Linked DNA regions of Caenorhabditis elegans. The protein of the gene in region 1 purifies or fractionates together with the protein of each later gene. This does not show direct contact. Each region holds a gene or a part of one and is shown in the gene's direction. Other genes may lie near its edges.

The links.
Region 2: the proteins of fasn-1 (region 1) and rpn-6.1 fractionate together in Caenorhabditis elegans (co-fractionation; one large-scale study listed by BioGRID). This does not show direct contact.
Region 3: the proteins of fasn-1 (region 1) and F29B9.11 fractionate together in Caenorhabditis elegans (co-fractionation; one large-scale study listed by BioGRID). This does not show direct contact.
Region 4: the proteins of fasn-1 (region 1) and rpn-5 fractionate together in Caenorhabditis elegans (co-fractionation; one large-scale study listed by BioGRID). This does not show direct contact.

Annotation. Positions count from the first base shown.
Region 1 is NC_003279.8:8,981,288-8,990,077, reverse strand, and holds the start of fasn-1 (Fatty acid synthase), read left to right. Parts: upstream 1-3,537; 5' UTR 3,538-3,555; coding exon 3,556-3,624; intron 3,625-5,294; coding exon 5,295-5,377; intron 5,378-5,724; coding exon 5,725-5,960; intron 5,961-6,233; coding exon 6,234-6,484; intron 6,485-6,576; coding exon 6,577-6,808; intron 6,809-6,862; coding exon 6,863-7,370; intron 7,371-7,426; coding exon 7,427-8,790. Other genes in the region: F32H2.8 (Nucleotide-diphospho-sugar transferase domain-containing protein), read right to left, coding at 1-140.
Region 2 is NC_003281.10:6,956,328-6,965,258, reverse strand, and holds rpn-6.1 (putative 26S proteasome regulatory subunit rpn-6.1), read left to right. Parts: upstream 1-3,257; 5' UTR 3,258-3,305; coding exon 3,306-3,351; intron 3,352-4,318; coding exon 4,319-4,411; intron 4,412-4,461; coding exon 4,462-4,685; intron 4,686-4,730; coding exon 4,731-4,860; intron 4,861-4,911; coding exon 4,912-5,240; intron 5,241-5,294; coding exon 5,295-5,600; intron 5,601-5,679; coding exon 5,680-5,868; 3' UTR 5,869-6,149; downstream 6,150-8,931. Other genes in the region: PolyA-specific ribonuclease subunit panl-2, read left to right, coding at 1-480, 552-703, 751-904, 950-1,043, 1,108-1,346; F57B9.1 (Putative pyridoxamine 5'-phosphate oxidase), read right to left, coding at 2,054-2,386, 2,437-2,590, 2,644-2,809, 2,854-2,881; CCR4-NOT transcription complex subunit let-711, read right to left, coding at 7,067-7,202, 7,302-7,569, 7,617-8,532, 8,597-8,931. UniProt on the Caenorhabditis elegans protein: Component of the lid subcomplex of the 26S proteasome, a multiprotein complex involved in the ATP-dependent degradation of ubiquitinated proteins. In the complex, rpn-6.1 is required for proteasome assembly.
Region 3 is NC_003282.8:4,656,820-4,663,591, reverse strand, and holds F29B9.11 (Cytochrome c oxidase polypeptide VIIc), read left to right. Parts: upstream 1-3,390; 5' UTR 3,391-3,391; coding exon 3,392-3,505; intron 3,506-3,743; coding exon 3,744-3,896; 3' UTR 3,897-3,961; downstream 3,962-6,772. Other genes in the region: jmjd-1.2 (JmjC domain-containing protein), read right to left, coding at 240-471, 524-844, 1,203-1,329, 1,384-1,786, 1,951-2,235, 2,282-2,353, 2,401-2,583; mrps-21 (Mitochondrial Ribosomal Protein, Small), read left to right, coding at 4,075-4,226, 4,280-4,469; col-111 (Nematode cuticle collagen N-terminal domain-containing protein), read left to right, coding at 6,005-6,278.
Region 4 is NC_003280.10:4,691,921-4,699,995, reverse strand, and holds rpn-5 (PCI domain-containing protein), read left to right. Parts: upstream 1-1,701; 5' UTR 1,702-1,703; coding exon 1,704-1,793; intron 1,794-1,850; coding exon 1,851-2,036; intron 2,037-2,087; coding exon 2,088-2,795; intron 2,796-2,842; coding exon 2,843-3,019; intron 3,020-3,086; coding exon 3,087-3,398; 3' UTR 3,399-3,575; downstream 3,576-8,075. Other genes in the region: scc-1 (Sister chromatid cohesion protein 1), read right to left, coding at 1-779, 828-977, 1,024-1,275; F10G7.5 (MFS domain-containing protein), read right to left, coding at 3,715-3,924, 4,259-4,375, 4,422-4,529, 4,739-4,928, 4,981-5,306, 5,413-5,539, 5,610-5,700, 5,750-5,842 and 1 more.

The DNA of each region.
Region 1 (8,790 bases):
TCTTCCTCGTCATGCTCATTGTGCATTGTCAGTGGATAATATGTAGCAATAAAAGAAAATATCACAATTAAAAATAAAATGAAATAAGGAACTTTTCGTAATACTGCATTTTTTAGAACTTTGTTAGTTTTGATGATCATTTGAAACCAAATAGAGGCAACATATCGCTTCCTTCTTATCTAATTCGCTGGCATAAACTCATAGACCCACCTCTCTGCATTTCGATGAATTTAAATCTGATAAGTCTAAAAATAACGAGTTTTTTCTCAATAGCAAGCTAGATATACGATTCAAAAAGATGAAATTTCTTTTTAATAGAGCCAGTTATAGTATGCAGTATGAATCTAAACATATGCGTCATGGGTGGCGATAAGAATCGATCCAGCACATATCGGCAAGCTGATCATTTGGTTTTTTCACGATATTCCGACATTATAAAAGATTTTTCTCAAATCCTGAATTATTTTATTTACACGGAAGGCTAAACATCTTATTTTTTAACACTACCTGCCAAATTTCTGATCTCTCGTCTGGTTTTTACTGATTTATTTGAATTTTCCAATGAGTATGATACAAAAGTTTAGCAGTTAAAAAAAAAAGACTAAAATATAACCCATTACTCGGCTCGCATTTTTTAAACATAAACAGTTACTTGTGAATTATACCTTTTTTTAGTCTTGTTAATTTTTTTTAATTTGGACTCTTTGAGAGTTAAGAAGTGTTTTTGGATGTTTCTTTTAAATTTTTAATTAAAAAAAAACAACCCTAATCTCATAGAAATTTTTTTGGTTGACTTCCAAAAAAAAGTAAAGCTGAGTAATTTCCACTTTTTGACTCTGACTAAAAAGACATTTTCTGTAGTAAAATTGAAAAAGTTTACCAACGGCAAAAATATTTGAAACAAATAGTTGACAATTTGTTGTGAACTGCATTGATTTTCAGTTATAGTCATCTGAAATTTTGAAAAAAAAACCGTAAAACTAAAATGATCTTGGTAGATACTATGTTCTTTTTGACTCTAACCACCTGAAAGTAAGAGCAATTTCTGATTGTTCAATTAAACCATCGAATTCCTGCAAAACTTTTATTTAAATCAACGGATATAATTGTCCAAAGAAACATTCGATTCCCGATTCAAAGAAAAATTACGTCAAACATCCGTTTGTCAACGTCACGAATTGTTATCATATTTGTTGGCGAAGTAGTTTGCACTGATGGTTGTTCTAGATGAATAGATCACAATCAGACCACCCTTGGTCTGTGACGTAGCATATAGTTTGTCAAACATTTTCAAAACACTTGATGTTAACAGGCATGGGAACAAAAAAGTAGTCAAAAATTAGTTTCAAAAACGTTTATTTTCTTCATCAAAATTATATAGTACTGTAGTATTATTTTGTTGTTTTTCTAATTGTTAACGGTCTCTAAAGTGTGGTCCTATTCAAACATTTTCAAATTGATGATAGAAGAACCAGAATGTGGCGGCAATTACGTTATTGGGAGGAGGTTTTGATTTTGAATTTAATGTAAAAAGTAGCATTTTCCATCTTCCTCTTTTCCATTTTTCTTCAATTTTTTTCTGTACAATTTCTTTTGCTTGGCCAAACATCCCACGCAATCATAAAAAAAATTTTTATGATGCTGTGAAATTTGCCGCCGCTTGCCACTTTTTCATTCCGTCTAGATAATTGAAATTCTGAAAATTCTTGAAGATTGAGTAGCGTTTGTGGGAATTTTGTTCTAATGCAGCCACAATAGTATAGCACAACCAATTAAATTTTTTAAGTATTTTGGATTTTCGAAAAAAGTTAGTCAAAGTTCTGGCAATGCCATATTGTTTGAAACAGTTAGGATTTTGAAGAAATATATGTAGAGTAAACCCGCATGAAACTTTTAAATTAAAAAAACCTGAATATAGTTTTTGGCTAATTTCCAAGTATGTGAAACCTGAAATATTGCCAATGTTTGACTGTAAATAAAAACATTTCAAATTTTTTGAAAAACTTTAATACGTTATTTTTAATCATTTTAATTATTTTTGTGAGTAGTTTTGAACGGAAAGCAGCGATAAGCCACTTTGAAGGGATAGATGTTCAGTGAAAAACCAACAAAATTCCAAACTTTCAGTCTAGCAACATTATTTATTATTTATTAAGAGATTATGCCAGTAGCAGAGTCGGCTTTAAATTACATTATTTAATTAAACACACATATTCCAAAAGTTCTCTTTTTTTTTTCGAAGTGGCGGTACGATTTCATCAATAGGCGTTTCACTTGGAATTATGCAAAATTTGAGCTATTTTTGAAATCGATAAATCAAAATTAATGAGCCAAAACCCACACAATGACAATACCGGCCACAAAAACTGTAACCTCGTTCGTCCCAGGTATTTAGCAAAATAAAATGTAGAATATTATATCTAAAGTGCAGTTCTTGCAAACAAAGATCAAATGGTTTTAGTTCAGAATCTGCCAATTTTTGATCATAATCGTGCAAAATCAGTAAGATCAGATGCACTATATTTGCCTTTCCATCGAAACCAGATTCTCTCCCCCAAAAAAACCAATCAAGTGCTTCTAAACTTTTAGCTGCAAAATCTTCTTGTTTCGTAGAAATGGGGTCATCTCCAATCTGTTTAAAAGGGATTGACTTAACACCTTTATGTCCCGACGATTCTTTAAAATAATTGGCGATTCTCTTTTCGTTTTCTCAAGATTCATTAGAGAATCACGTGAACTGCAAAAACTGCAAACGGCGTGTTTGACCACAAATGCAACTTTTCGTTGCGGTGGGAACACAAACATTCCACATCGCCGGAATAAGGGGGCAACGAGGGGATAATAAGTAGGTTCTGACCTCCTCTCCCGGGGCTTGGTCACCGTTTACATCGATGCGATCATGTCCCAAGGTCGAATCTCTGTCTCTTTTATGACTATTCTCTCGGATAGGACATTGTCGAAAACCACCAACGATTCACCGCCCCCATCCCGTCCATTCATCTTTCACTTGTTACTTCTTGTGTAGTCCATGTCCAAGAATGGTTAAAGAACGACGAAGATGTACACACTTCTTCTTCTTCTTTTTTCCCAACTTTGTGATTCTTTTTTAGCTAAATTCTGCTTCTAGTGCATTGATAATCGTTAAATTCAACTAAATTATCTAGAATTAATTCTGCTGGTGAAACAAAATACAGCTGAGCGAAAAACTCAAGGTTTTCATCACTTGACTAAATAAGAATGAATACTTCACTACTTTTCAAACCCCGTCTTTAATAAGTTACTCATATTTGGTCGAACATACCTCAATCACACATGGTTGAAAAAACCGGTTCTGAACGTAGCTGACCTCTATGATGTCAACAGTTTCAGGTTTATCGAAAGAAATTTTGTGATTTGTTCAGTTTTAGATGTTATCTATGAGTACGGTAGAGGCAAACATAGATATAACTATTTTCTAGCACTTTTAACAATAATTAATTATTTCAATTAATCTTATTAATTTGTTCGTCAATTGTTGAAAACTCTCTAAATAAACCTTTTTTCAGCTATCGAACGATGGATAATACTGGAGAAGGATCGTCCGATTCGAGTGGAACTTGGGAGCGAATTTCGGACAATTCTCAGGTGAATTCACATATTTATTTATAGTCGCCTCTATTGTATTTCTCTATACCTCTCTTCAAGAATTCAATCTCATTTTGTACAGTCACTTTTTTCTTGCTCCTCTCCGCCCACTGTTCTGAGAGCAGACGGAATGGCTTAAAAGACGCAACAGATCGAAAGAATGCGGCCATTCCGAAAACTTTGTTCTCCTCATTTTCTCCGTCTTTTTCTTCTTTTTTCTTGTATCCCCAATCGTTTATCTTTCCTAAAACATCTCCCTCCTTTACTTCTCCGCGACTTTTTTCCGTCATACTTTTGTCGGGTCGTGTCGGGTGAAGGGACGATGATCGACAGCAATCAGATACAGTATCGGCCCCCGAGATTAGATCACACAGTAACTGACAAGACGACGGACAACTCAGGGACATCACATCTGCAAAAAGGACCTCTCCTATCGATAATCTCTTCTCCTCATCTCGACCTTTCTTTGAGTTCCTATTATTTCTCTTTTCTCTCTTCTTTGTAGATTAACATGGAATGTTGGAAATGCCTCGGTCTCGTCGTTTAGATATTACCCGATTCTATCTCACGGGACAAGAAGAAGCACGAATGGATCCGGTATTAATGTCATCACTTTCATTGTCTTGATTAGCTCATTCATGTGATCTAAGTCATCATGTTATGAAATAGTTGAATCGGTATAAATATGGAGTGAGCGAATTCAGATGAATCACGCCACTTGTTATTCAAATTATCACACTTGGCAATCTAAAACATTTCTTTTTTTCAAGTATAAATCACAATGAGTGTCTGATGGAGAAAATGCTAGAAGGTCTTTCAGCGAGTACTTTATTATTTTTTCTTGTACCATTGCTTGACTTTGAAAGCTTGTCTTTTGTTTTATCGAAAAATTACCAACTGACAAACTATTAGTTATTTAATTTTCTACAGTTTTGTAGTTAATTATTTTTTGACACCAGTAAAATGAGCCAAGATAAATGCTTTCAAAGTTGACTAAAAATTAATTGTTAGTTCTAACTTTTCACGTGGCTACAAAGATACATTCCTCTTACAGTCATAAATCAAACAACTTCTTTTGTTTTAGTGTCAGAACACATCTTGAAACTTGAGAAAAACACTGAATTAAAATAGATTAGAGTAAGTACTGCACTTTTTGAATAAAACTCGTATGACGTGATTTTTAATGTGATAATTACTCTGAAATATCTCAAAACATCCCTCAGTGAGTGGGAAGATACCGTAACCAAGGAATTCAATTTTCACCTCTTGTTACCCTAAAATTAGAAAATTTGTCGTCGTAGAACCTAAACGGATCGTCGAATGTCTCGACGGTTCCCGTGTCCCTCTCTTTTTATCTTTTACCATCTCTACCGCGCAGCAGAGCGCCCGTATCCGCATCTTCTTCGTTTTCCTAGTTTTCTTAGTTGTCCGGTTGTCATCTTATTCTTCTTCTTTTCTTCCATCTTCCCTTCACCTCTTCTTTTGTCATTTCTGAGTACATGCCTCATTCACAAGTGAGCGTATGTGTTTGTGTTTTGTCCGTCTGGTTCTATTTCGAGATTTTAAAATCAATAAGTTTCATAGAACCACTTTGATGGTTGTTATCACATTTCGATTCTTAGATTTGTATTCAAACGGTTTAAAATTGTAACTAATTTTGAAAATTTCAGTCTTCGGACAACATGGATCCAACACAATGGTGGCAGAAGCAGGACGATATCGTAATCTCAGGAGTCTCGGGCCGATTTCCAAGGTACATCTATTTTGAAACCTAAAATTTTGATGACGGATGAGAACGGTAATTGGGTAATGTAATAAACCCATCTGAAAGTACTGACAATATCACATTTACCGTTTCCTCTATTAGAACTGCACCTCATCAACTTTTACTGCTAATATTTGATTTTAATTTGACCTATACAAAACTGTAAAAATGATCATCCGTTGATATGTTTAAAATAATCCGATATTTAAGCTTTCAAAGTAAAATATACTTTTTTTAAGAATTTTACAAATAATTTTAAATAATCTTATTTTTAAGTTTTTGCGGAAACCGTTCACGATTTTACTGAAATATGTCAAACGTTCCAATTTTTTCAGATGCGATAACGTCAAAATGTTCGGAGACATGCTTCTTGCTGGTGAAGACCTGGTAACGGAAGACTCTCTCAGATGGACACCAGGATTTTGCGATCTGCCAAAAAGACATGGAAAACTGAAAGTGTTGAACAAATTCGACGCGGGCTTTTTTCAAGTTACTCCAAAACAGGCAAATTTCATGGATCCACAAGTTCGACTACTTCTTGAAGCTTCATGGGAGGCAATGGTTGATGCGGGTATGTCCATTTTTCTCTCTCGTATTCTCTATCTATATCCCTCCCTCGGAAAAGGAGACGGAAATCGGAAAAAGTGTGCCCCGATGTACCGGGCTGTGGTGGTAACCTTGAGACCGTCATGCGCGCGCACTACTGACCCCGTGCAAGTAGGATGTTCCACTTTTATGATTTTGGAATATTGAACAAGTCAAATAAAGAAATTGGGAAAAGAACAGTGCTTATTCAATTAAAAAACAAAAAAGGAATAATTAAATAATAATACTCAAATTTCAGGCATAAATCCCACTGACCTCCGTGGATCCAAAACAGGAGTTTTTGTTGGATGTTCAGCTTCAGAAACCTCTGGAATGCTCACACAAGACCCAGATACTGTAACGGGCTACACGTTGACGGGTTGTGTGCGTTCTATGTTCTCTAACCGTATTTCTTACACATTCGATTTGCAAGGACCATCTTTCTCGGTGGACACCGCTTGCTCATCTTCACTTTTGGCACTTCAACTTGCCGTCGACTCTATTAGACAGGTTCGTTGCTTTGTTTTTTATGCAAGTTCAATTTATGATGATTTCTACTTTCAATCTGAGATGAAAAATTATTCTAATATTTAATTATTCAGGGTCAATGCGACGCCGCTATTGTCGCAGGAGCTCATCTCACATTGACTCCAACTGCAGCTCTCCAATTCTTGAGATTGGGCATGCTCACAGATAAGGGAAGCTGCCGTTCATTCGACGAATCTGGTGATGGATATTGTCGTACTGAAGGAGTTGCAGCCATCTTCATTCAACGCAAGAAGAAGGCTCAAAGACTCTATGCAACTGTTGTTCACGCCAAGTCTAACACTGATGGTGAGTTTTTTCCAGAATTAAAACATGAGTTTTTCTCAAACATTTAAATTTTAGGGCACAAGGAGCATGGAATCACTTTCCCATCAGGAGAAAGACAAGCTCAATTGCTTCAAGAAGTTTATTCTGAGGCTGGAATCGATCCAAACTCAGTCTACTACGTTGAGGCTCACGGAACTGGAACTAAGGTCGGAGATCCACAGGAAGCCAACGCAATCTGTGAAGTTTTCTGCTCCAAGCGTACTGATTCTCTTTTAATCGGTTCAGTCAAATCTAACATGGGACATGCTGAGCCAGCATCTGGAGTTTGCTCTTTGACCAAGATTCTTCTCTCCATTGAACGTCAATTGATTCCACCAAATTTGCATTACAATACTCCAAATCAGTACATTCCGGGACTTACCGACGGGCGCTTGAAGGTTGTCACGGAGCCAACTGCACTTCCAGGAGGACTTATTGGAATCAACTCTTTCGGATTCGGAGGATCTAACACTCACGTCATCTTGAAGGCTGCTGATCATATAGCTCCACCAATCACCCCACATCCATTCACCAAACTTGTCACGTAAGTTAAAAATATATTTCTAGATTCAGAACAGTTTTGAACGTAAAATATTTCAGTTACTGTGGAAGAACTCAAGAAGCTGTTGAAAACATTTTCACCGAAATTGAGAGTAACAAGGATGATCTCTACCTTCAAGCTTTGTTGGCCAATCAGGCTAACATGCCAGCCAACCTTCTTCCATTCCGTGGATACATGCTTTTGGATAGAGAAAATAATGTTGAGACCTTGAAGAGCATCACCAAGGTCCCAATTACTGAAGCTCGTCCGATCTATTTCATTTACTCTGGAATGGGATCCCAATGGCCTGGAATGGCGATCAAGCTCATGAAGATTCCAATGTTCGATGATTCTCTTCGTGCTTCCAGCAAGACCCTTGAAGAATTTGGACTTGATGTTTACGGAATGCTCTGCAATCCAGATCCAGAACAATACTCCAACAACACTATGAACTGCATGCTCGCCATCACTGCTATCCAAATCGCTTTGACTGATGTTCTCACTGCTCTCGGAGTTTCACCAGATGGAATAATTGGTCATTCAACTGGAGAAATGGGATGTGGATATGCTGACGGAGGAATTACTCGTGAGCAAACAATGAGACTTGCTTATCATCGTGGAACCACCATCATGAAGCACACTGAAATTAAGGGTGCTATGGCTGCTGTTGGTTTGACTTGGGAGCAGGTTAAGGAACAAGCTCCACCTGGAGTTGTTGCCGCTTGCCACAACGGAGCTGACTCGGTTACCATTTCTGGAGATGCTGAAGGTGTAGCTACATTCTGTGCTCAACTCAAGGAGAAGGATATCTTTGCGAAGGTTGTTGATACATCTGGAATTCCATTCCACTCCCCAGCAATGCTAGCTGTTCAAGACGAGATGATTGAGTGCATGAGAACTGCTGTTCCAGAACCAAAACCAAGATCTTCAAAGTGGATTTCTACATCCATCCCAGAAGATGACTGGGAGTCTGACTTGGCTGCAACTTGCTCTGCTGAATACCATGTCCACAATGCTTGCTCTCCAGTGTTGTTCTACGAAGCTATTCAAAAGATTCCAGCAAACGCTGTCACCATTGAAATGGCTCCACATTCATTGATGCAAGCCATTCTTCGTCGTTCACTTCAAAAGACTGTCACCAACGTTGGTCTTATGAACAGGCCAAAGTCTGAGAATGATGATGAACTCGAGAGCTTCTTGGGATCTCTTGGAAAGATCTACCAAGCGGGAGTAAACATTCAAATCACTGAACTCTACCCAGGAGGTCAATACAAGGGAGTTGTTCCAAAGGGAACTCCAATGATTGGTCCAATGTGGAAATGGGACCACACTCAAGACTGGCTTACCATTGATGGGCGTCAAGTTCTTGCTGGAGGAAGTGGATCTGTTGCATCATCTGCTACCTACAACATTGATCCATTTG
Region 2 (8,931 bases), on another chromosome or scaffold:
GCACACTACATTCCATCCAGAATCGCTGCTCAACTTTGCGAGGGGATTGTTCGTTTGTCTGATGTTTCGGATCTCCCAGACTATGATGAGCCGTCTGCTGTGATTTATGAGCTTGATGCGATGATTCATGCTGTTGGTAATGGAGAAAACGATGTAAATTGGACTCATCCAGTTACATTGTTGAGAGAAAGTCCCGTTATTTCATCGTCCTGGACTTTAATCAATGAGCAGCTAGTGAGCCGATTGCATGATCATGAAGCAAGGCACATAGACGGAAGATGGAAACTTCCCGCGCTTTTGGCTTATAAAAAGAAGAACTTCGATGTGAAAACGAGTGAGGATATTATTTCCAATGATTTGTTCCTCGCGGAAGAAAATTTGGCGAGCAACGGGATGACGTCATTGGCCGTTCAATCATTGGAAGAGCTGCCGAAAGAGAAGGAATTAGTCGGTTTGGATGCAGAGTTTATAAAGATTAAGGTAAGTAACTAAGTTTCGAATACCCTATATTTAAAAATCCGGAATTTAGTAAAAAAAAATTCAATTTACAGACCGATCTACTTGAATTCGACGGAAAAACCGTGCAGATGAGAGCAGTTGGTCGAGCCTCCTGTGTCGACTCGACAGGCGAAAGGATCATATTCGACGATCACGTGAAGCTCACTGATGACGTAGAAGTTGTCGACTATCTCACGAAGTTTAGGTATGCTTCACTTATTTCGAATTCAATCTTTATTCACTTTTTTTCAGTGGAATCGTGAAAGCTGATCTGTGTCCAACGACTTCCGAGAAATACTTGACAACCCACAAGCGGCTTCTTCTACGAATGCATGTTTTGATTCAACGAGGAGTCACATTTGTAGGACACGCTCTGCATAATGATTTCACAGTGCTCAATGTGCATGTAAGATTGTTTTTGCAAAGTTCTAGCTAAAAAGCTAATTTTCAGGTGGCAGAATCACAGATAATCGACACAGTGACTCTGATGCGTCTTGGCACCCAGAGAATGTTATCATTGCAGTTTCTGGTTAAGGAGATTCTTGGTGAGGCCTTTCCTTTAACTTCGCTTGTCTAGCTCGGTTCAGATTTTAAATATAAATTTTTCAGGCGAAACTATACAAATGGAAGCTCACGACTCGGTGGTTGATGCGAGATATGCACTGAAGCTGTACCGAAAATATCTGGAAATCAAAGAGCAAGGACTTCTGGGTTCAGAAATGCGTCGAATCTACACTATTCTCCCGTGTCCATCGCCAAACCAAACATCGTCACCTCTGGTTGTATCTACTACACGAAAAACTCCAGAAGATACGAATCCAGCAGATGCTGCACCGAAGTCGGTTTAAATTGAAGGCCTTCCAGATAAGCTTACTGTAAAAGTTCGTAGAAAACCAGAAAATTATCACTTTCAGCATAATAATTATTATATATTTACTTACGTACCAGATTATCTCAAGTTCACTTAAGCTATCACTTTGTATATCAATTCCCCATTTTGCGAGTCAATTCATGTATTTTAAATACTCGTGTAATCTCAATATTCGTCCCAATATTATTTCTTGAAACATTCCCCTGTTTTTCTCAAAATATCATGTACCATTTATTTTTGTTTCTGTAAATAATACAATTTTGCAATTTATTAGCATTTTTAATTCTATATTCTTCTCTAAAAAATACAACTTCAAAAGCGGTGTTCTTGAAGTTATTCAAACCTCGGAAAATGATAGCCTACCTTTCTATGGGCTATTATTTCAAATTGAAATTTTCAATTGACATTTTGATTTGAAATAACTCGGAAATGAAAATGATCATTAAAGAATCAAATACATATTCTTTAAATTATAATTCGAGAACTAATTCACAAGTGATTAAGAATATAACAGGATACATTGTGATTAATTTGATTCATTTTAACTTGTAATTTTTTGTTGAAGTAATTCCGTTGGTAAGAAAAAATTTTATGGTCTAATTCATAAATAAATACGACGTATTTCTCAAGGAAAATATTTTTAATTTTTATCTACACGAACTTTAACTATAGAAGTGAATGGAATTATGGTGAAAGCCTCTTGAGAAGCCACACATCAACATCTCTTTCGAATACTATTCTATCGTGAAGACGATCCGATTGTCCTTGCCAGAATTCAAAATATCGAGGAATCAAATGATATCCACCCCAGGATTCTGGTTTCGTGATTGCTTGAGCTCCTTCCCGTACAGATAACTCTGTCAGTGCAACTTTTTTGGATTCTAAGAATTCTCTATCGGGAACCACTTTTGATTGATCACTTGATTTTGATCCGATTCGACTTGCTACTGGTCTAGAATTCCAATAAGCGACGGCCATCTCATCTGGAAGCTTCTCAACAACACCTTCAACTCGAATCTGAAATTAAATAATCTCGATTTCAAATTTTCAGCAGTTGAAAATTATACCTGACGATTGACTTTAGGCCAATAAAAGAGCATCGCGGCATTCGGATTCTCTTCCAATTGATTTCCTTTGCGGCTAGTATAATTTGTGTAAAACGAGAAGCCAGTTGGTGTGTACGCTTTCAGAAGAACCATTCTGGATGATGGACGAAGATCTCTGAATTAATACTTTCTAGGTTTTTTTCTCCATTTTGAATGTAATATGCTCACTTTCCGACGGTGGATAAGGATACTGCATTGATTTCTTCGAATGTTAAGTCAGATTGTGAAGCGACGTTACGAAACCAGATATCAAAAAGTTCGAATGGTGACGTGGTTGGTAACTTTGATTCGAGTAGATATGGATCATGAGAGTTTAGATATTTTGCCCGAATGTCTGAAAAATCAAGAATTATTGGTAAAAAATTATTATAAACTCACTTTGAATATCAATAGATGGTGTCTCCATAACGTATGATCTACGTGCCAAGTGACGATATTCGTGAACTGAATATGACCGAATGACCGTAGGAAATAGAAACAGATGATAAGAGAAATACATATATCGTGTGAGATGAAAAGACACCAGACGGTTAGAGTGTGAGATGATACAATCATTTAATTTATCAATTACCTAGTGATAAAAAAGATGACAGACGACGAGGAACGACAAACATTTCGAGGGATCAAGTGAGATTTCTCTGAAACGAATGTATTGGATCTTGGGGATAAGTCGTGGCGAGACCCAGAACATGTGCCAAATAACTAGTTGTTTTTTAGTTGAAAATGAGAGTCAGCTGCTCAGAAATATATGAAAGAAATCTACATTGAAGTTTTGACATCCTCGAAGCTGCTTCAAAAAATTATTTTAATTGACACAACTTTTCGTCCTAATGAGAGAAACGAGTTCACGAGAAGACACTAATAATATTGGAAAAGGTACGTTTTTTATTGAAAAACTGAACTTTACCTCTTGAAAGTGAAAAAGAGTTAATTCAATATTATTTATTTGCACTTGGTGTTTTAAAGTCAATTTTGTATTCCAAAAAAGAATAAGTTTTTGATCAACCTGTTTTTCATGCATGCCTGCATTGATTTTTTTTTGGATCTCCACACAGCATTTTAAAATTCACCACTTTTCCCCCAAGAGGACTCTCAAAAATTCACGTGCTAACCGCTCTTTTACATACGAGCCCGCTATTTGCTCATAGTCAGCTCCCCGATGCTGGTGTTCGAAAACAACTCTTTATTTTCAGGGCTCCCCGTTTTCAGTTAAACTGGCGGCTTGACCTTATTGGTCTTTATCAGTGCAATTTAACCACAACGAAGAACATATTGTTACGAGAAAGTAAATTTTTAATAAACTCGAATTTTTTTAATCAACCCGAAAAAAATAAGCTTTATTTGTATTTTAAACAACATTTTGTTGAATTTTCTGTTCTGTGCATTTTCGCGTCACCTTCAAGTCCGCAAACACCATTTGTGTACCGTACCACACCGGGAAAAATACGCTGGCGGGAATTGTCATCGTCATTGTCTTACTCTCTGTTTCTTACCAGTTTTCTAATGTTTTATCCGTTTATATTTTGATAATTGATCAATTAAATGATAATTATCATATTTTAAAATGATATAATCAGTTGGTGTGTTTTCCGCAAGCACTTATTGATTTCTGAGGCTCCGACAATTTCCATTCCGTTATTTCATTTTTAATGGGGTTATTCAAGTAGTGTCGGAAAATTAAAAAGTGTAGAAAAGTTACGTCACAGCTGTATTCAAGTAAACAAAAACATGTATTTAAATACATTTGTGACGTCACAAATGTATTTTAATACATTTTGCTACATTACTTGAATAACCCCATAAAATTCAATACTTTTTACTGCAATTAAAATCTTAATTTCAGCACCTGAAATGTCTGGAGGAACCATTATGGATACAATGACTTCACTTCCACATCAAAACGACCAAAACGTCATTCGTCACCTCACCAATCTCGGTGAGTCCTTTTCCATATTTCAGAATTTTCCAATTTGTCCCAAATTGAAGTAAAATCACCAGCATCTGGGGACGATGATATCAAGAAGAAAGAAGATTCGATCATGGAATTGGGAAATATTTTGGCTCAAAATAAGCAAACTGAAGAGCTCCGAAATATGATTGAACAAACGAGGCCATTTTTGGTGTCATTGGGAAAGGCAAAGGCTGCAAAACTTGTCAGAGATCTTGTTGATCTATGTCTTAAAATTGATGATCAAGATGGAGATATTAAGGTGAGCAGAATAATAAGCTTCAAATATAAACCCAACTATTTTCAGGTTGGACTCGTTAAAGAATGTATTCAATGGGCCACCGAGCAAAATCGCACTTTCCTCCGTCAAACACTCACTGCTCGTCTTGTTCGCCTCTATAATGATCTTCAAAGATACACTCAGGCTCTTCCACTTGGTAATATATTTCGCTGTAATATTTGAAAATAACTGATAATCTACTTTTCAGCTGCCGATTTGATTCGTGAACTGAAAAAAGTCGACGATAAGGACGTTCTCGTGGAAGTCGAACTTGAGGAAAGCAAAGCGTACTATAATCTTTCCAATATTGGTCGTGCTCGTGCTTCTCTCACTGGTGCTCGTACAACTGCCAACGCAATCTATGTGAATCCTCGCATGCAAGCAGCTCTCGATCTTCAATCGGGAATTCTTCACGCTGCCGACGAGAAGGACTTCAAGACAGCTTTCTCATACTTTTACGAAGCATTTGAGGGATACGATTCGGTTGATGAAAAAGTGTCCGCCCTCACCGCTCTTAAGTATATGCTTCTGTGCAAGGTAATACTCAAAAATAATTACTATTATATTTAAATCCTATATTAAATTTTTCAGGTGATGCTTGACCTTCCAGATGAGGTGAACAGTCTTCTGTCCGCAAAACTTGCTCTTAAATACAATGGTTCTGATTTGGATGCGATGAAGGCGATCGCCGCAGCTGCACAAAAGAGATCTCTTAAGGATTTCCAAGTTGCATTCGGTTCTTTCCCACAGGAACTTCAAATGGATCCAGTTGTCCGAAAACATTTCCATTCTTTGAGTGAACGAATGCTTGAAAAAGATCTGTGCCGTATTATTGAGCCATACTCATTCGTTCAAATTGAACATGTTGCTCAACAGATTGGAATTGATAGATCAAAGGTAAGAACCAAAAATATTGTTTTTTAAATATAAATGCAAAAAAGTTGTTAATTTTTACACAAACTTATAAAACTTTCAGGTCGAAAAGAAGTTGTCCCAAATGATTCTCGATCAAAAACTTTCGGGATCTCTTGATCAAGGCGAGGGAATGCTTATTGTATTTGAAATTGCTGTTCCCGATGAGGCGTACCAAACTGCTCTGGATACAATTCATGCAATGGGAGAGGTTGTCGATGCACTCTATAGTAATGCTTCGAAAATTAACTGATGATTTCTTCGAATCTTCATTTTTTGTTCTGCCTTGTTTTTGTACAATATCTCGACTTTTCCCATTTTCTAAATTTTCTTCGATTTTCCCTCACGGTTCAGTCCTCCGTTCTCCTTTTGAAAATTTATTATGTTTTTTTATAATTGACGACTCCCTCTTTTTTAACCTAGACCTTTCACTTTTCTCCTCCTCTGGAAGCATCAAACTATCCATTCTGCATTATTTTGTAAACGTTTAAATATCCCCCGAACCCGACGTTGTTCAATAAATTTAAGTTGCACAATTGTTTCAGTATATAGAAAGTCTTTGCAAAACCGTTAAAAGAGTTCCTATTTATGTGGCGCGAAATATCTTCTAGCGACTTTCTACCGTACTAATTATTTTTCAGTTCAATTATACGGTAGAAAGTCGCTATGAGATATTACGCGCTACAAATGTAGAAATTATATCTTTCTGATGATTACGTAATATCCAAATCTGTGATGTTAATAAAAATTTGGAAATTCAGTATATCAAATGACGCGTTCTTTATTGCGAATTGGTAAAAGGGGAATGAAAGAGAAACCTCTACAAATCGTAATGATATCAGATAACAAGGACGCAAAATTGAAAAAAGGTTATGGGAACGATAAATAGACAAAGACATCTAGCGCGATTTTAAATGTTTTCACACAATTTAAAAAGATTTCTATACACGGAGGAATACGTCGAAAATGGCGCAATCGATCTATCGGATGTACAAGTCTTTAAAATAACGAAAAAGCGGGCAGAAAACGTCGAATTTACAGAAAAAGACCACCACCCTTTCTGAAAATTCAACCATCATTAACTTCAAGCCGTTTTTTCGTTATTCTAATCTAAAAATTGCATGAAAAGGGTAATTTTGGGGACGAGGAAAAAAGGCAGAGATTCTAGTGTGAACATATGTATATTAATAAAACAAAAATAATAATCGAACATCACGCATAAAAATTTAAAAAAGCTACAAAAATTGCGAAAGGGGTAGTATATATCTCAAAAATTTGAGTTTGTGTTGAAGCCCCGTGTTTGAATGATTTGGAGAGCAGAAAATGAAGAGGGAAAAAACAAGGAGAAAATCAAGAACAGCCCGTATTTCGACATAAGAAGCTATCCAATACAAAAATGTGATGAGAATAAAGATCAGAAAATCGGGAACCGAAAGACCAGATGAGAAAAATCAGTTGGTGTTTGGGTTTTGCTGTTGATTAGCAGCTCCGGTATTGTTTCCTAAAGGTCCTGGGGCACCATCTGGTTGTGCTTGTGGCTGAGATCCTTGGGCTGGGACACAAGTGTTGGCAACATTTTGGAACAATCTGAGAGAAATATTGTTGTAAATCGTCTACGAAAACATAGTAAGACAATTGTATCGGATTATAAAACATTTGCCTAAGAGAATAATAAATTAAATTTACCTCTGTATTTCTGGTGCACAACTGGTGAACTCATAACGCCAGAAGTTGTATGTTGGATTCTTGATGAGCTCTATGAACGTTATAAGAAGTCCCCATGGATGAGGTCGGAGAGCTACAAGACGCTCGAACAGAATACGTGTGATCTGCTCTTGAATTGTGTCATTTGTAGAGTTCTTGAAGAGATACAAAAATACACAGCTGAAGTAGTGTGTATGAGCATTTGGATAACGAAGTTGATTGGCGATTCCGTTGAAAAGAAGGTAACGTCCTGAAAATTAGATTTTTAAATTGAAAGCGTTTTTCGAAAAACCTCACCTTCGGTATCCAATTGAATTGCTAAATTCTGGAAAATGTCCATATACGATGTATGAGCTATGTTCAGCGTTGAGATACGTTGACGTCTCAAGTGCAAGTGCTCAATAGCTCTGATTCCGACGTACAAAACGAGAGCGTTCATTACAGTAGTGTTGTATTTGGTACCGGCTTGATTCTGAGTTTGCAAAAGAGTCGGCAGGTTTGGAAGGAAATCGACAGATATACGATTTGCAAGATATTCATCCAATGGAATTCGAATGTTATCTGGTATGATTGTAGCCATGTTTAAATTGGACTTCGGTTCCACTGCCATCTCTGGAATTGTGTCAACTTGTTTGAAGTTCAATGCAAATGGGTCCGGAAGGCGCATTTGACGTGGATACGCTGATAATATCAAATTGCGAAGTTGCACACAATTTGGTGGAATCGTATCGCAAATTACATAGTGGAATTCGCAAAGAAGCTCCGGGAAATCGTGAAGTATGACCAGCAGAACACGTAGTGTTCCCTTGTACAGAATGGCAATCGATTTTGGCAATTGAATGTTACGAAGGAATGGAGCCAAGAACTTCAAATGAGAAATGATCAATTGAGTGTAAGTGGCTGCCGTTTTCACAGCATCGACGGTTTCAGCAATGCCAGTGTTTGCCAAAAGACGTCCAATCACGTTTCTATGTCCGACAATATCGAGCCAAGCGAAAGCGAATCCAGGCATTCGTCGTGGTTGGAGAGCAAAGAAAGTTTGTCCGAAAGCCTCCAAAATGCTCCAAGCTATTGGTTCAAGAAGTTTCAATGGATCAGGTCCAGTAATCTCATTGAACAGGCTGATCAGAATACGGTGGTATGGCATAGCGTTGAAATCTTGCTTGCGAACTTCGTGATCCATATGAAGCACTCCAACGATGATGTTGAGAAGCTGAAAGAATAATAAATCTAGTGTTTATATTAAACATATCATGAAACCAAATAATAACACCTACTTTTTTCAGCAAATTTATTTTATTCTGCGATTGTCCGTTATCCGAATGTCTGATCATCAAGGCCATCAACTTGACAAACGCATCCAAAGTGTAGTAACATCGGTGACGAATCAAGGTTGTTGGCAATCCATTTGCAAGTTGTTCCGATTTCATAACTCTGACAGAGATATCGACACAATTTTCCACACAAAGACGGAAGAACTGAGTGATCTTGTCGTCAGTAGCAAGAACACCATGTTCGTGCATCAGTTGAATCATTTGAGCCAATGACTCCTGTGGACTTCTTTGTCCAGTTGGAGAATAGCACAGACCAATCCATTCTCGCATAATAATCT
Region 3 (6,772 bases), on another chromosome or scaffold:
TGCTCAAATCAACGAATTTCGTGATGAGGCTTCTCAAAAATGCTTTTAAAATCTCGGAAAATAGGAGATTTTAGCCAAATTTAGTCTTTTTTTTTTAATTTTGAACCTCCAAAAAAACCAAAAAAATATTGAGAATTTTTTCAGAAGTTTCAAACGAAATTCGTTAATTTGAGAACATTTTGGCGGGGTCAGAACGTTCACAATCCGCGGAACCATTTATATTCCTTCAATAATTATACCTTCAAAATGTGATAGTAGACGCTACTACCACCAAAGTCCACGTGGAAATCCGTATAAGATCCAGCCATTCCTGCGAGACAAAACTGTTCCACTTTTGGTCGCTGATCTTCTGGAAGATATTCTTCTCTCTGGAGGAGTTTAATGTACTCCGCTCCACTGACATCAGGCCACAGGCGGTTGACCATTGAGATTTCCTGGACAAATCTTGGCGGCTTAGCGATTTCTTTCATCCTGGAAATGTTAATTAATTAATTTTTCAATTGTTTTCAGTTAATAAACTCACTCATTATTGTCCGAGAATTCAAGGGACAGAAAATTGTACAAGAGTGGTCTGTTTTTAGTGTCGCGAAAAAGTTTTCTGAACGTATCAAGCTTCATCGAATAGGTGCTCTGATTATAGACATCGATCGTGTCCACTTCATAATCCGATCCCATAATTTTCACAACATCCTCCAAATCGAATCCAGGCTTCGGCATTGTCATATTGAGGCCGTCCATGTCTTTGACCATAAAAACTTTTCCCCAGTTGTCAGCTCCTCCGAGTTTTTCGAATTCTCTGCGGAATTCGTAGCCATCTTCGACAATGCAAACCTCATCGTCGGTTCTAAAGAATACAAATTTAATTTTAAATAATCTTTAAGGGAGGTCTGGGTTTTTTGCTTGTTTAGACTCAAAATGTGCCGGAATGAACGAAAAACATTATTATAGGTGATAAATTCAAGTTTTTTCGTTGATTTATGTACATTTGAAGCCAATAGGTAATCAAAAAAGGCCAATTTTAGTAAACTGACAGCTCAGAATGTACCAAATAAACGAAAAATGTGAGAAAACGGCAAAAATGGGAGTTTTCAGCTGAGATTAACTCTTTTTCTTGAAATTTTTGTGAAGTCTTCGTTCATTTTGGCGTATTTCGAGTCTTCACAAATAACAACCAAGTCATCTTTTAATGAAAATTCCCTTACGGTGAGGGAACAGTATTTTCTCTGGTGATGAAATCCTCAATCCAAGTTTTTGAGCCAACTTCAATTCCGAGATGCTTCTCGTTCGGACTGTACCAGCGATAACGATGTGGGGCGACGACTTTGTATCCTAAAATAATAAATAAATATATTTAATTGCAAGCTATTCGATGAAAAAACTTACGAATGCTATGTCCGGTATGTGGAACGCATTTGGGGCAGAAAAATTTCTCATACAGGTAATACTCAAATTGCTCGAGGCCTGAGCACAGAAAATGGTACCAGGTTTGGCAAGAGTCACAGCCAATCCATTGGAAGTCATTTTTCTTGTGATGGTGAGATTTCTTCTTGCTCATCAGTGGCTTTTCCTTTTCCTTCTTCTTTTCCTCTTCAAGAGCAATTAGATCATCTTCATGAGTAAATTTTCCGCATCCTCCACATCGATCCGATTCCTTTGGAGTTTTCTGCTCTGGGACATCATCTTCTTCACTGTCCGAGTCCACCTCAAGCTTCAATTCTTCTTGAACTTCTTTCTTTTTTGTTTTCATTTCGTCGAAATTCGAAATTGAAACGAAACGGAATGGAGGCTGGAATAAAATTTGATGATATTTATCAATTAATTTTTTTTCTTCATTTAAAAGTTCAGTATGATATTGCCACGGGAAATTTGAATTTTTTCAAAAATTTATAAATTTATAAATAAATTTTTTTTGAATGAAAATAATCTTCCACATTTCAGAATAAACCATACCTCAGATCCGTTGCTGACGTAGTTCTGATTTGACTCCATCTTCGGCGCTTCCGCTTCCATCTTGTTGCTCATTGCAGCCTGATTATCCGATGAATCTGTCACATGTGGCTCGATTTTAGGCTCGCTCTTCGGATTGTGCTGCTTTCTCCTCGGATCTTTTGGAGCGCCCATCTTGTTGTAAGCTCTCGCCTGGAAAATTACGTTGAGAAATGGAGGAAGTTCAGTGAAATCGGAGGTTACACTCACTTTCATGAGCACTGATTCTATCGCAAAATCAACCGAATTCTGAGATGAGACTTTTTTTAAAATTTTAAATGAATAAAACACTTACTCTATCCATTTCGGAAACCGATTCATGGGAATTGCCATTCAAATGATTTTGAGGAGCTGCGACGCTTGCTTCCTGTAATCAATATCATTGAATAATCGCAGAAAAATAAAAAATCGTACAGAAACTAATGGCGTTTGATGCTCAGTAGAGGAAAGAGCCGGTTGAGAGGCTGTGTATGACATTCCTGGCTCGCCGATTGCCGATTCGTGATTCTTATGGTCGGAATGCTGATCCATCATTAGAAGTGCTGATTGGTCTCGAGAAAACTCGTTTTTTTGTATATTTATATCATTACCATCCATTTGGAATGTGTAGATTCTGGAAAACAACGATTTTTAACGGAAAACTCGAAAACTTCAACGAATAGTCGATTGAAAGGGAAACAACGGACAAAATAACATGAAAATAGCTTCGAAATGTTTAAATTTATTTCTGTTACAACATTTTTCAATAAAAAACTCCAGAAAAATGATGGAAAACTGAAATATATGCTGAAAAAACTGTAAGCCTCGAGGAGATGTGAAGAAGAAGAGAAACGAGACGCAGCATGCGAAACAAGAGACACTGCGAAACGGGGGAACGTGAGTCGCGATGAAATTTACGAGTTTGTGGGATTAAATACTAATTAGTAGATAAACTTTAAGATGAAAATATCAATATTGATTAGTTGAATTGATTGCAATTCTGAATACAAAAAATTTTTAACGAGAAAATCAATTTCTGCCTGTCCACTTCCGGGTTTTGGTGTCTCGCATTCACCGTTCACTCGCTTCGCAGTGTCTCCGTCTTTCTCACCTTCCGTATTCTCACACTTGGCACGTAGCCAAGCGGCTGGTCTCGCAACGATTGTTTTTGTTTTCCGTCAGCCGTCTCTGCGCCTTTAACCTCTCACAGCCTGCCGATTATTTTTTAAGCAGATTTTTACTATTTTTCAGCTTTCAAGCTTCATCCATTAGCAAAATCAAATAATTTTTTGATTCATTGTGTAGAATTAACGATTTTCGTATAGTTTCTGTTTTTATAACCGCCTGAATCGTATTCTCTGTTTCGTTTTCTATGGATTATCATGCTTGCTCAATTACTCTGTAAATTTAAACGATTTATTGCAGGATGCTGAACCGTGCTGTGCTCTCCTTGGCTAGAAGCCAACATGTCATCCGTCGCTCGCTTCACAAGGGAGTTGACTCGACCCCACCACTCCGTTTCACCTCTGTCAGCGAGAAGGTAATTTTTTATTTGCTAAATGTCTTGAACTTATCCTTGTGAGCAGTAAAACTTAAAATACCACTAGCTCACCAAAAAAAACTAAATTTCAGTTTGTACATTCGTTTGAATGGATTTGAAAAATTAATTTCTGAACTAAAAGATACAGTTTTGAAATTTGTCTCACTTTTAATTTAGCTGCTCAAAAACATATTTATCCAGATATCCATATTATTCACTATAACACCAATTTTTTCAGGTTGCCCTTTACGGACTCATCTGCGTCGCTTTCATGGCATACCCAACTTCCGTCCTCTTCAGACTTGATAGTCTTCGCCCAAGACCGGATAATGCTCTCTCCCCAGAAGTCCAAGAAGAGATTGACGCCCGTGTTGCCGCCCGCAGACAGTAGAAGTAATATTATGCCACGAGCCATTGTGTAGACTTTTGAGAACAACAATAAATCGATTCTTGTTTTCTCTTCGCTTTTTCTCAATTTTATTCGCTGTCAAATGTGGTTTATCCATCCATGAAAGATAAATGTTCGATTCGGTTTTTCATTTAGAATTTTTTTGATAATTGTTTTAAAGATGGTACGTCAATTCACCTGGAGAGGAACGATTTCTCAGCCGTTCGCGATTAAACTTTTCAAAGGAATTTGGAATTCACATCCAAGATTCGCAACTCGAACAGTAATGGTGCAGAACAATGATGTCGATGGAGCTTTCGGACTTCTTAACAGGTTTTCTTTGGAAAAATTCCCAGAACATAATTTCAAGATTGAAATAATTTCAGATTGATGGATTCAGAAGGAATGCTGAAAATCATTCGCCGCACTCAATTCTATCAGAAGCCCTACATGCAACGAAAAACACTGTCGATGGAAGCATCAACGGCGATTTTCAACGAGGACATGAACCGGAAAATGAAATTTCTCGTTCGAAAAAATCGTCCCGACAAGCATCCCGGACAAGTGACGTCCTAATTTCGATCTCAGAAAATAGTTGTTTTGAGTTTTTTGTTTTGTTTTGTTTTACAGCAATAAAAGTGTAAATTAATTGAGAATTTAGAAACAAGGATATTGGTTTTAATGTAAAAAGTTGAGGATCGTCGGTATGGATTTTAAGGATTGCACACGTAGAATGAGGAGAAACAGGCGCCGCAGCGCCCGCGGGGCGCTTGTCGCGGCGAGACCCGTGCCGGAGGAAAATGCCTGCGCCTTTAGTTTGCTACTGTCTCTCTCACTCCGCTGTCACGGGAAAACATCCCATTCTCGGGTCGCTGCGCTCCCCCGAGAAAAGGTTTTCCCTTGTTCCTAGCTCCGTTCGAGAGAAATGAGGTTTAAGGATTAAGGTATGGATTGCAAGGGAAGCCAAACATGGAAAAACCTGATCAATGAATTTTTGCGGTTTTTAGTCAAAAATACAGTGACAAGTTTCGACAATAATTTATAAATAAGAAAACGCATAGAAAATAACTAAAGTTGAAACTACTGTACTTCTTAAAGGCGCATTTTTATTCGTTTCGAGACCTGATACCACATTAAAGGCACACGCTGCGGGTCTCGCCACGATCTCAGTTAATGTGGCTGTTACACGTGATTAATTTGAGGCCCCACGAAAAGGGGAGCAGAACGAAAAGGGGATCTGCAAAAATGGGATCTGCGAAAAGGGATATACGAAAAGGGGAGCTGGCACTGTGCCAAACGCACAAAACGCTTTTTTATTCTCATCCAACGCACGACTTTGTTATAACCACACTCCGTTATTACGCATCGCGCGTTGTTTAGCGAAAAATACAAAAAAAAAGTCGTGCGCTGAATGAGAATAAAAAAGCGGTTTGTGCGTTTGGCACAGTGCCAGCTCCCCTTTTCGTATCTCCTCTTTTCGCAGATCCCCTTTTTGCATATCCCCATTAATTTCAAGTAATTGTGTAGAAAACTAGCCGAATTTCCAACAACCTAACAAAATTCGAAAAAGGGATACAGAAAAATGCGACTTTTGAATTTGAGGTGCAAACGTGCTCCAACGCCATAATGAAAATGCTCCGCCTCCAGACTTTGGGTCTCGTTAGGTTTTGGCTTGTATATAATCAATTTGGACATTAAAAAATAATAACTTGAAACGTTTGTTTTTTTTATTTTGCCGCCAACACCTAACGAGACCCAACGTTTAGGGGCGGAGCGTTTTCACCTGGAGCGCGCTTGCACCTCGACCTCAATAATGCGCATTTTTCTGCGCTTCCATAATAAATTGGATTAATCCCTTCTCGTGTTCCCCTTTGATATACGAATCCAATATATCCTTTTTCGTTTCATTGCGCAACTGTTCTTCCTCCATCTCGCTGTCATCCAAAACCGCCATCGAACATGCCAAACTGCTTCCACACCTCGTTATCCATACATGCAACCACACAAACCGGTTTTAGATTTAGCTTCTTGTACTTTCCCCCATCTTCGTTCTATAAAGACATCGTCCACCGTCACTTTGCCATTTCTTTCCATTTTCGTCGTCTAGAACTATGACTGTAGACAACGCGGCGATTGCCACCTGGACAAGTGTCCTGGTGAGCGTTGCGTGCATCTCGTTTTGTGCATTTTTTGCCGCTTCGGTGTGTGAGGATATCAATCAATTTTTGGATGATTCCTTGTTGAGCTTCAAAGAGGGACAGGGACGAACTGATGATGCTTGGAATGAGGTGGTGTTCTTGAATGACAAGAAATTCAAGTCAGAGCTCCTCGTCAGCAACTCGGCCACCGTTCGTCAGAAGCGTTCCGATCTTCCGGCTCATTGTAGTAAGTTTTACAGAGGATTTTTAGACTGTAGTATAATATACAAATGACCGTGGAGAACGTGGATAACAGTACTTTTTGTACTTTTTTAGACTGAAAATTTAAATCGCACATTCAACTTGAGTATAAATTTATATATATCGTATTATTAGGTGAAAATTAAATAATTTACTGCTAAAAAAACTGAAACTTCTATTAACCTGACGCGAAATTAACCGATTTTGTCGTAATAATACGGTACCTGGTCTCAACACGACAACATTTCGTTAAATGCAAAAAGGTGCGCGCCTTTAAAGAGTACTGTAGTTTCAAACTTTCGTTTATTCAGATTTTTTTCATTTTTTCCAAATTGGTTTAAAAACTGCATTTTTAAAAAAGTTTTCATATAAATACATTTATTTTTATCAAAAAACTATGAAAAATCGAAGTAAATTCCACATCAGCGAAAGTTAAAAATTACAGTAATCTTTAAAGGCGCACACGTTTTCAAATTTAAC
Region 4 (8,075 bases), on another chromosome or scaffold:
TGAAGGAGTTCTCTGTTGAACATTTTGCATCCAGGTTCACGGCTGAGGTGTTGAAGATCTCCGCTGACGCATAAATTGAACATCTTTCTGGTAGGAGGCGCCATTTCAACTACTCGCATCGTATCGGAGAAGTCTTCTTGTTGCTCTCGGAAAGCGTCGTTTGAAATCATAGTTTCAGCATCGACAATCAGCTTTCTCGCTTTTCTCTGACGTTTTTTCCGTCCTTCCATGTGCTCCACATCTAGAGGCTCCAGGGCAAATGACTCGGGACTTTGTGGTCTCGATGGCTCAACGTTTTCAGGCTCGAACGGTTGATAGTCAAAGTCCATACCATCGTCGTTTTGAACATCTGCGACAGCATGCTCTCTGACGGGATGAATCATTGAGCTGAACATATCAGCAGGCCCAACACCACCATCGTTTTCCAGTGTTTGATTCTCAACCTTCAGGTTCATTTCAGGCATGAAATTTCCGCCTTCCTGATTGTCAAAAATAAGATTTGGACGTGTTGGTCCTTCGGAGAAAATCACACTATCCGCATCTATACGGGAAATTTCCGTTCCATTTGCAGCCACATCACGATCTCGTTCGACTTCCATCAACGATTCTGGCTGAGGAGTGGGGCGCAAAGACAAAGGTTCCACCGATCCGTAGAGATGATCGAGTTGCCAAGATTCTCCTTCGTCACCGAACCCATCGAAATCTGCGTCAATGTTGAACTCGACATTGAAATTGACGGTTTCTTTCATGGTGATGTCTTCACGACGGCTCACATTAGCCTGAAACAGCGATTAAATTGAATGTGAATTGCTTTTAATACAACGCACCATAATGAGCTGCTCATTGTAGTCGGCATCGTGGAACTCGGGCACTGTGATATTGTACTTATCAATGAAGTTTGAGAAATCCTCTTCAATTTCTGCATTCTCTGGAATGTCGACTTCAAAACTGAATCCGTTGCGGAAGTTAATCTTCATCTGAAAATTTACTTTGTTTTTGTCGTTCTAAATTATCTTTAATTACCTTTTGATACGCTTCATTTGTATCAGCCAGAAGATATCGTGTCTTCTTCGAGTAGATTCTCACGATTCCAAGGAGAAGATGTCCAACTGTTCGGAGCGCCATTTTAACCTTGGGGCGAATGACTTCCTCGATCGCTTGGGGAACATCTGTTTCGAAGATTTGCGCCTTTGTCAGCTTTTTTTCCCAGTGAGCTGCCAGCCACACTTTTGCCAACGGTCCCTTTTTGGCGAGAACGAACTGTGCATAGAACATCTGAAAATAGCATGAGATAAACAATAGATTGTTAACGTCAAAGAGATCATAGATTAGAAAATTCCTGAGAAAACATGATAAAAGAGCAAAAACTGGAAGAATAAGTATGTTCAAATGATCACAATGAGAGAAGCAATAGTTTTAAAATGAGGCAAACATTGAAAATGCGGTAAATTTCTGATGATGAAGACAAAACGCTCGAAAAATCGTTTTCAAATATTTTTGTCTTCCTCCTCCTGGGTCTTACCGCGATTTGAGGTACGGTAACACTCGTTTCAGCTGTGCGGATTGTCACTCAAGAAATAATTATTTTCTACTCTCTACCTTTAAAATTTTTGTGCATTTAAAAGTAATATTTTTATAGGTTTTGAAGTTATTTTTCAATTAAAAAAGCAGAACTATATATTCTAATTATTGTTATTCCAGATATGGCCGACAGACGCGAACCGATCCCGGTTGACCCGGTCGATGTCGGAGAACTAAGCGAACTTGACAATTTGGCTCATTTGGCCGCTCATGTAAGTTTTAAAACGTTTTCGAGAATTTATCTGTAGATTTCATTAAATGATTTTCAGGGTGGAGATGGTCGTTTGTTCAAAATGGAGCAGGACTACTCGAAACAAGTCGACGAAGCACTTCTGAAAGCCCGAGATATCGCTCAAAAGGACGCTGTTGCTGCTGTAGAGAGTCTGAACAACATCGAAAAGCTCACTCGTCTTGGAGCTGACATGAAGAGCAATACACGCGTTGTTCAATATATGGTGATAATACTTTTCAAATTAAAAAAAAAATATTAATTCTGATATTTGCAGACGAAGCTTTGTTTCGAAGGGCAGAAATGGGATCTTCTTATGGAAACAATCATGACGCTTTCAAAGAAAAGACTTCTCATCAAAATGGCTATCGCAAAGATGGTCCGTGATGCTGTCGCAATGATTGACAAAATGCCAACCGAGGACCTCAAGATGAAGCTTATTGAAACTCTTCGCACTGTTACAGCTGGAAAGATCTATGTGGAAGTGGAACGTGCTCGCCTCACCTCGATGGTTGTGAAGAAGTTGGAGAGAGAGGGAAAGCTTGACGAAGCTGCAACCATGCTTCTTGAACTTCAAGTGGAAACATATGGCTCCATGGAAATGCGAGAGAAGGTGCAATACCTTCTCGAGCAAATGAGATATTCTCTCGTTCGTAATGATTTTGTGCGAGCCACTATTATCTCTAAGAAAATCAATATCAAGTTCTTCAACAAGTCAGACGAAGATGAAGTACAGAACCTGAAGCTGAAATACTACGATTCGATGATCCGTATCGGACTTCACGATGGAAACTATCTGGACGTGTGCCGTCATCATCGTGAAATTTATGAGACGAAAAAGATTAAAGCTGATTCAGCCAAGGCGACCTCACATCTTCGTTCTGCCATTGTCTACTGTCTTTTGGCTCCGCACACAAACGAGCAATGGGATCTCCTCAACCGAATTGCCATTCAAAGAGAATTGGAAACCGTTCCAGACTACAAGGTAAGCTGTGCGATTTGAATTTAATCTAATTATTGTTTTCTTTTCAGATCATTCTGGATCTTTTCATCAACCAAGAACTCATTTCTTTCAAAGGAACCATTGTCGCAAAGTACGAGAAGCTTTTAAGACGTGGAACAACTAGCTCACCAGACACCGGAATTTTCGACAAATCAACTGAAGGAGAGAAGCGGTGGTCTGATTTGCACCTTCGTGTTGGAGAGCACGTAAGTTAAAATTTTAATAAGTTAAAAACCTGTTAAAATTTATAAATTTTTATTTGTATTTTTACAGAACATGCGTATGATTGCCAAGTACTATACTCAAATCACTTTCGAACGTCTCGCTGAGCTCCTCGACTTCCCAGTTGATGAAATGGAATCATTTGTGTGTAACCTCATTGTTACCGGTCAGATCACCGGAGCAAAACTTCATCGCCCTTCCCGTATTGTCAATCTTCGTTTGAAAAAGGCAAATGTTGAGCAATTGGATGTATGGGCGAGCAACGTGCACAAACTGACGGATACATTGAACAAAGTTTCCCATCTCATTCTGAAAGAGCAAATGGTTCACAAGAACTTGGATCTCGCGGCCCCACGGGCATAAATTTAACCACTTTTTTGTGTATAATTCCGCCATCATGTGTATTTTTCTTATTGATGTTCGCCCTCCCCAATTTCTTCTTTTTCGTGCACCTTCTCCGGTTTTATCATTAATTTATTAATACTGTCGATCGATTTCATCCTTTCACTCTTCGGTTTGATAGTAAACGTATACGTGCTCAATGTGTATTACTAGCTTTTGAAGAAACAATTTTATGGAACAAGTTGTAAGATAGAGGTAACGGGAAACAAATGGATCATCACAGGTTTGAGTTGATTTTCTAGGAAATTGATAAGAAGCTATAACATGAGTGCACCAATTACTGATAAACTTGATATCCATTCTCATCCTCTTCCAAATGTTCTCGTTCAGCAGAAACCAACAACTGAGCTAAATCGGTTTTGTGGACGATAAAAGTGAGGAAAAGTGAGGTCAACATGAAGCATCCACAAACAATGAAAAGATATTCAAATCCGATTTCAGAAAGAGCATGTGTTGAAATGAGTCCAGCGATTAGTCCGGCGACACTCTGAAATGTATTCATGTATTCGCGAATACGGTACCCGGTCTCGAAACGAGAAATTTGTGTTAAAAACAAATAGGTAAGCGCCTTTAAAGTGTACTGTAGTTTCAAACTTTCGCTACTGCGACATTTTCATCGTTTTTCTCACATTTTTTTAAATGTATGTGTTTAAAATGTTTTATTTCATTTATAAAAATTCCGCATCGACGCAAGTTTGAAAGTACAGTACTCTTTAAAGGCGCACATCCCTTTGCATTTAACAAAATTTTGTCGTGTCAAGACCGGGTGCTTTTTCACAAAAACCGGAAAATTTCGCATCCCGGTAATAAGTTCCACTTACCACTGCACACTGCAAAAATCCATACATAACACTGAAATTCGCCTTACTAAAACACTTGTGCGTGATGTAAGGAAAGATTGAAAATGTGCCTCCGATGCAGGAAAACATCAGACAAACCTGAAAAACTGTAATTTCAATGAGAAAAAAAAAGAAAAAAACGAACGGTGGCCAAAAACAGAACATCATTGGATACCATTTTCACCAGTGGCATCGAAAATGCCAAAACTGCTCCCAGGCTGCACACAATCGACATGGAAAATTGATAGGATGTCTGAAAATTTGATTTGAAATTAATTATTGGAAAATCAAGACCGCTCCGCCTTCAAACGTTGGGTCTCGTTAGGTATTAGCGGTAAGAATTTTTAAAAAACATGTTTTCGGTATTTCTTTAGAGTTTAACTGTTTTGTCGCCAATACCCAACGAGACCCGACCCTTGGGGGCGTAGCGCGAATTTTTCTGCGACTCCATAATAAAATAACCGTATCCGCAATTGCACCCCAAAAAACTCTGCTCCCAGCGTTGAAAATCGAGGATATCGATCCGATCAAGCTCAAAAAGAAGTCAGAATCGATAAATTGTTGCCCATAAGCTTTGTAGAGACCACTTGTGAGTTGGACCCAAACGGCATTGCATGTCAACGACAGGAATAGTACTAGGAAAGTTGTGGTTCTGAAAAAAAAACCCGTTATTTGTCTGTATAATGCCTCGCGGCAGGACTTACCGTAACTGCGGCCAAACCCTCGCCTGTTCCACGCGAATTTCACTGTTCGTCCCAATCAAATTCTCCGTTTCAACGTGAATATCGCCTTCCGGTTGCCCGATAAAAATGAGCCCAATCGATTGAAAAACCGTAAAAAAGATGGACATCACGATGAAAACGTAGGGAACCCGTTCCAAAAGATCCTCTTGAGTGAAGAATCCTTGATCGTTGACACGATAATCTAATGGATTGATAAAAGTGGTTTGAAGGGGTGACAGGATGAATGCACCACATCCATATCCACCGATTATGATGCCTCCGGCTAGGCCGACATTGTCAGGGAACCACTGAAATTTTGAAGATTAGCAGAGGTTAGGGGTTTTGAAAAAAAAATTAGATTTTGGAAATCAAGACTTTATTTGAAGATTTACAACAAAAAATTTCAAAAATTACCCTCTGAGCAGTTGGCAAAATGGAACTGTAGGCAATGCTACTTCCGACGCTTGCGATGCCTCCCATCGTAAGCAGTGTTGCGGCGTAGGAGTGTTGAATTGAGTAGAATGTTGATCCAACACCAATTCTGTAACAATACAGATCATTTTTTGTTAAGCACATGGTGCATCGCGATCTGTAACTTTTTTTAAACTCACGTATAAATAATTGAACCTAAAAGTGCACCAGCTCTTCCACCAAACTTTCTCTCTACAAGACCACCAATCACCATTCCCATCGGGAGACCGCCTGAAATTTCAAAATGTCTGGTTTCTTGAAAGTATGGAAAAAAACAAACTCAAAAGTGTCTGCAACCAAATCAATTGCCCCGTCCTCATATCTGGATACATTTTCCATCGGAAATACGAGACAAGGTACGGTAGAAGGTTACCTGGAAATTTTATAAATGCTTCAAATTGTTCAGATTAATTCATAAATTTTCCAAAATTAAAAATTCTTCAAAAGAAAACCCAGTTTTTTCCAACAAATGGCAACTTTCAAGTAGTATTCGAGGTACTTTTTAATAATTTCCAATCAATAAAATATTTTTCTATATTATAAAAATAAATTTAAATTTGAAAACAAGGATTATCACACCGAAATTGGTAGTTTTGTAGATTAACCGAGACCGAGAAAGCTCGCCGCCCACCCATTAAATTTTTAAACCGCCATAATTTGTCAACTGTGAAAATAATCGAGAAGCTGTCAACTGATAAAATATTTAGAATTAATTGAAAATTGTTTTCCTAGTTGACAATTTTTCCTATTACTCACGGTTACAAAGTTTTAATAAGAAATGTTGGAAGTTTTCCCGAAATATTTGCTCTCCAATTTGTTTTGATCTCACAAAATCTTTCTAGATTCTATAACAATTTAAAACCTACCACAAGTATAAACGATTCCAAAAGTCACCATACACATCACACCACCTACAAGTACCGCCCACGGTCTAGCGCCACGTGGCAATCGCTTTAGTATCGGATCATCGGTTTCCATTGGTAGTCTGCCAAAAAACGATGAGCAGGTGAAGCATGACATTTTGAATAAATTATACAATATATACAGATATGTAATGATTGAACCCGAAAATGTTTAGGAATAATGATGCCATGCGAGATAGGGAAAATGTACCTAGAGACGCAGGTGGTGTAATAACTAGACTGTGTGGCATGGTATAGAGACGCAGACGGGAAATAAAGGAACACACAAAGGACATCAGCTGAACATGGTTTGATCTATGGATTTAGAAAACCAGGAGGTTCTAGGCTAGGAGGAAATAGAAAGTGGATTTTCACCAAATAAAATCTATTTGAAGAAAAATAATTCGATTTTTGAAATTACCAAAAAACGTTGATTCTCACTACTTTCTTATCAATTTCTTATTAATTTGTAATCAGTAGATACTGAATATGCACACATTTTTCTCGTTGTCTGCTCTCAATGCTTTATTGAATATGACAAAAAATCAGTGCTAGTTTCCATTTTGAGCTGGTCCATTGCCGTTGTTGTTCGGTCCATGGAGAGGAGGAGGTGCAACTGGCAATGGTGGAGCAGGATCATCAGGCTCATCGAACGGAGGAGTAACTGGAAGCACAAGGTGTTGCATCGGCATGCGACGATTCTGAAAGAATTTTTGTTTCACAGTTTATTCGCGATTTGTGCATTGTCTTAGAATTGTGTTTATAAGGATCCTTGGATCCTCGACTTACCTCTCTCAATCTCTCACGAATCACGGGCGGTGCAATAACGACTCCCTCAAATACCAAATCTTCATTTGGAGCCGCATTCAGACGAGTTCTCAACGCCATCACATCTTTCTTGGCTCCATTGTTATTCTTCCACTCAACCAAGCTAAACTGCCAGGATAGATTTCCAACTGAGACATCCTGGAATAAAGACTTGAAACCTAGTAAAAAGTTAGAGTACTCACGTGACGTCTTAAAAAGTTTGAACTATTTGTCGTCGGAATGTATGGTGGACGACGGACCAAATGCGATAGAATGGTCACATTAGCCAGATTTTCCTTTGGACAAGAACTGAGTGGAGCGTTTGGACCGAGGAGAATCTGGAAATATATCAATGCTAAACTCCCCAACTGCAAGAAAATAAGCATACCACAAAGTTCTTGACTGCGTTCAATCGGTTCTTTTTCTTCAATGGACCATAGTTTCCAAAAATCACAAGACATTGGAGATTTTTCGGCAAAAAATGTCTGATCTGATCGTAAAAAGTGACATCCTCGAACTGGTCCATAAAAATCGAAATCTTCGAAACTGTCAGCTGACGAAAGTTAAAATCAACTGATGTCTTTGCTGTTGAAGTGAGAGAGAACATCGATGGAGGGATGCTCAGATCATCGAGGTTTTTCATTTGTTCTGAAATAGATATTCAGTATTAAATTAAAATAGTTTGAAGCTTACCAAGTTTTGGAACATATTTGGCACCGGCACGTGTATCGACCAAACATCCAACCATGTCCAAGCTCGCCAAGTTTTTCAGAGAAACCATGTGGTCAATCAGGCTTTCAGTCAGGTAAATTCCTGTCAAACATACACGAGTAAGCGTTTGTGGGAAGCAAGCTGTCAGAACTCTGGGCTCAACAACATCCACTATCTTCGGTTTTT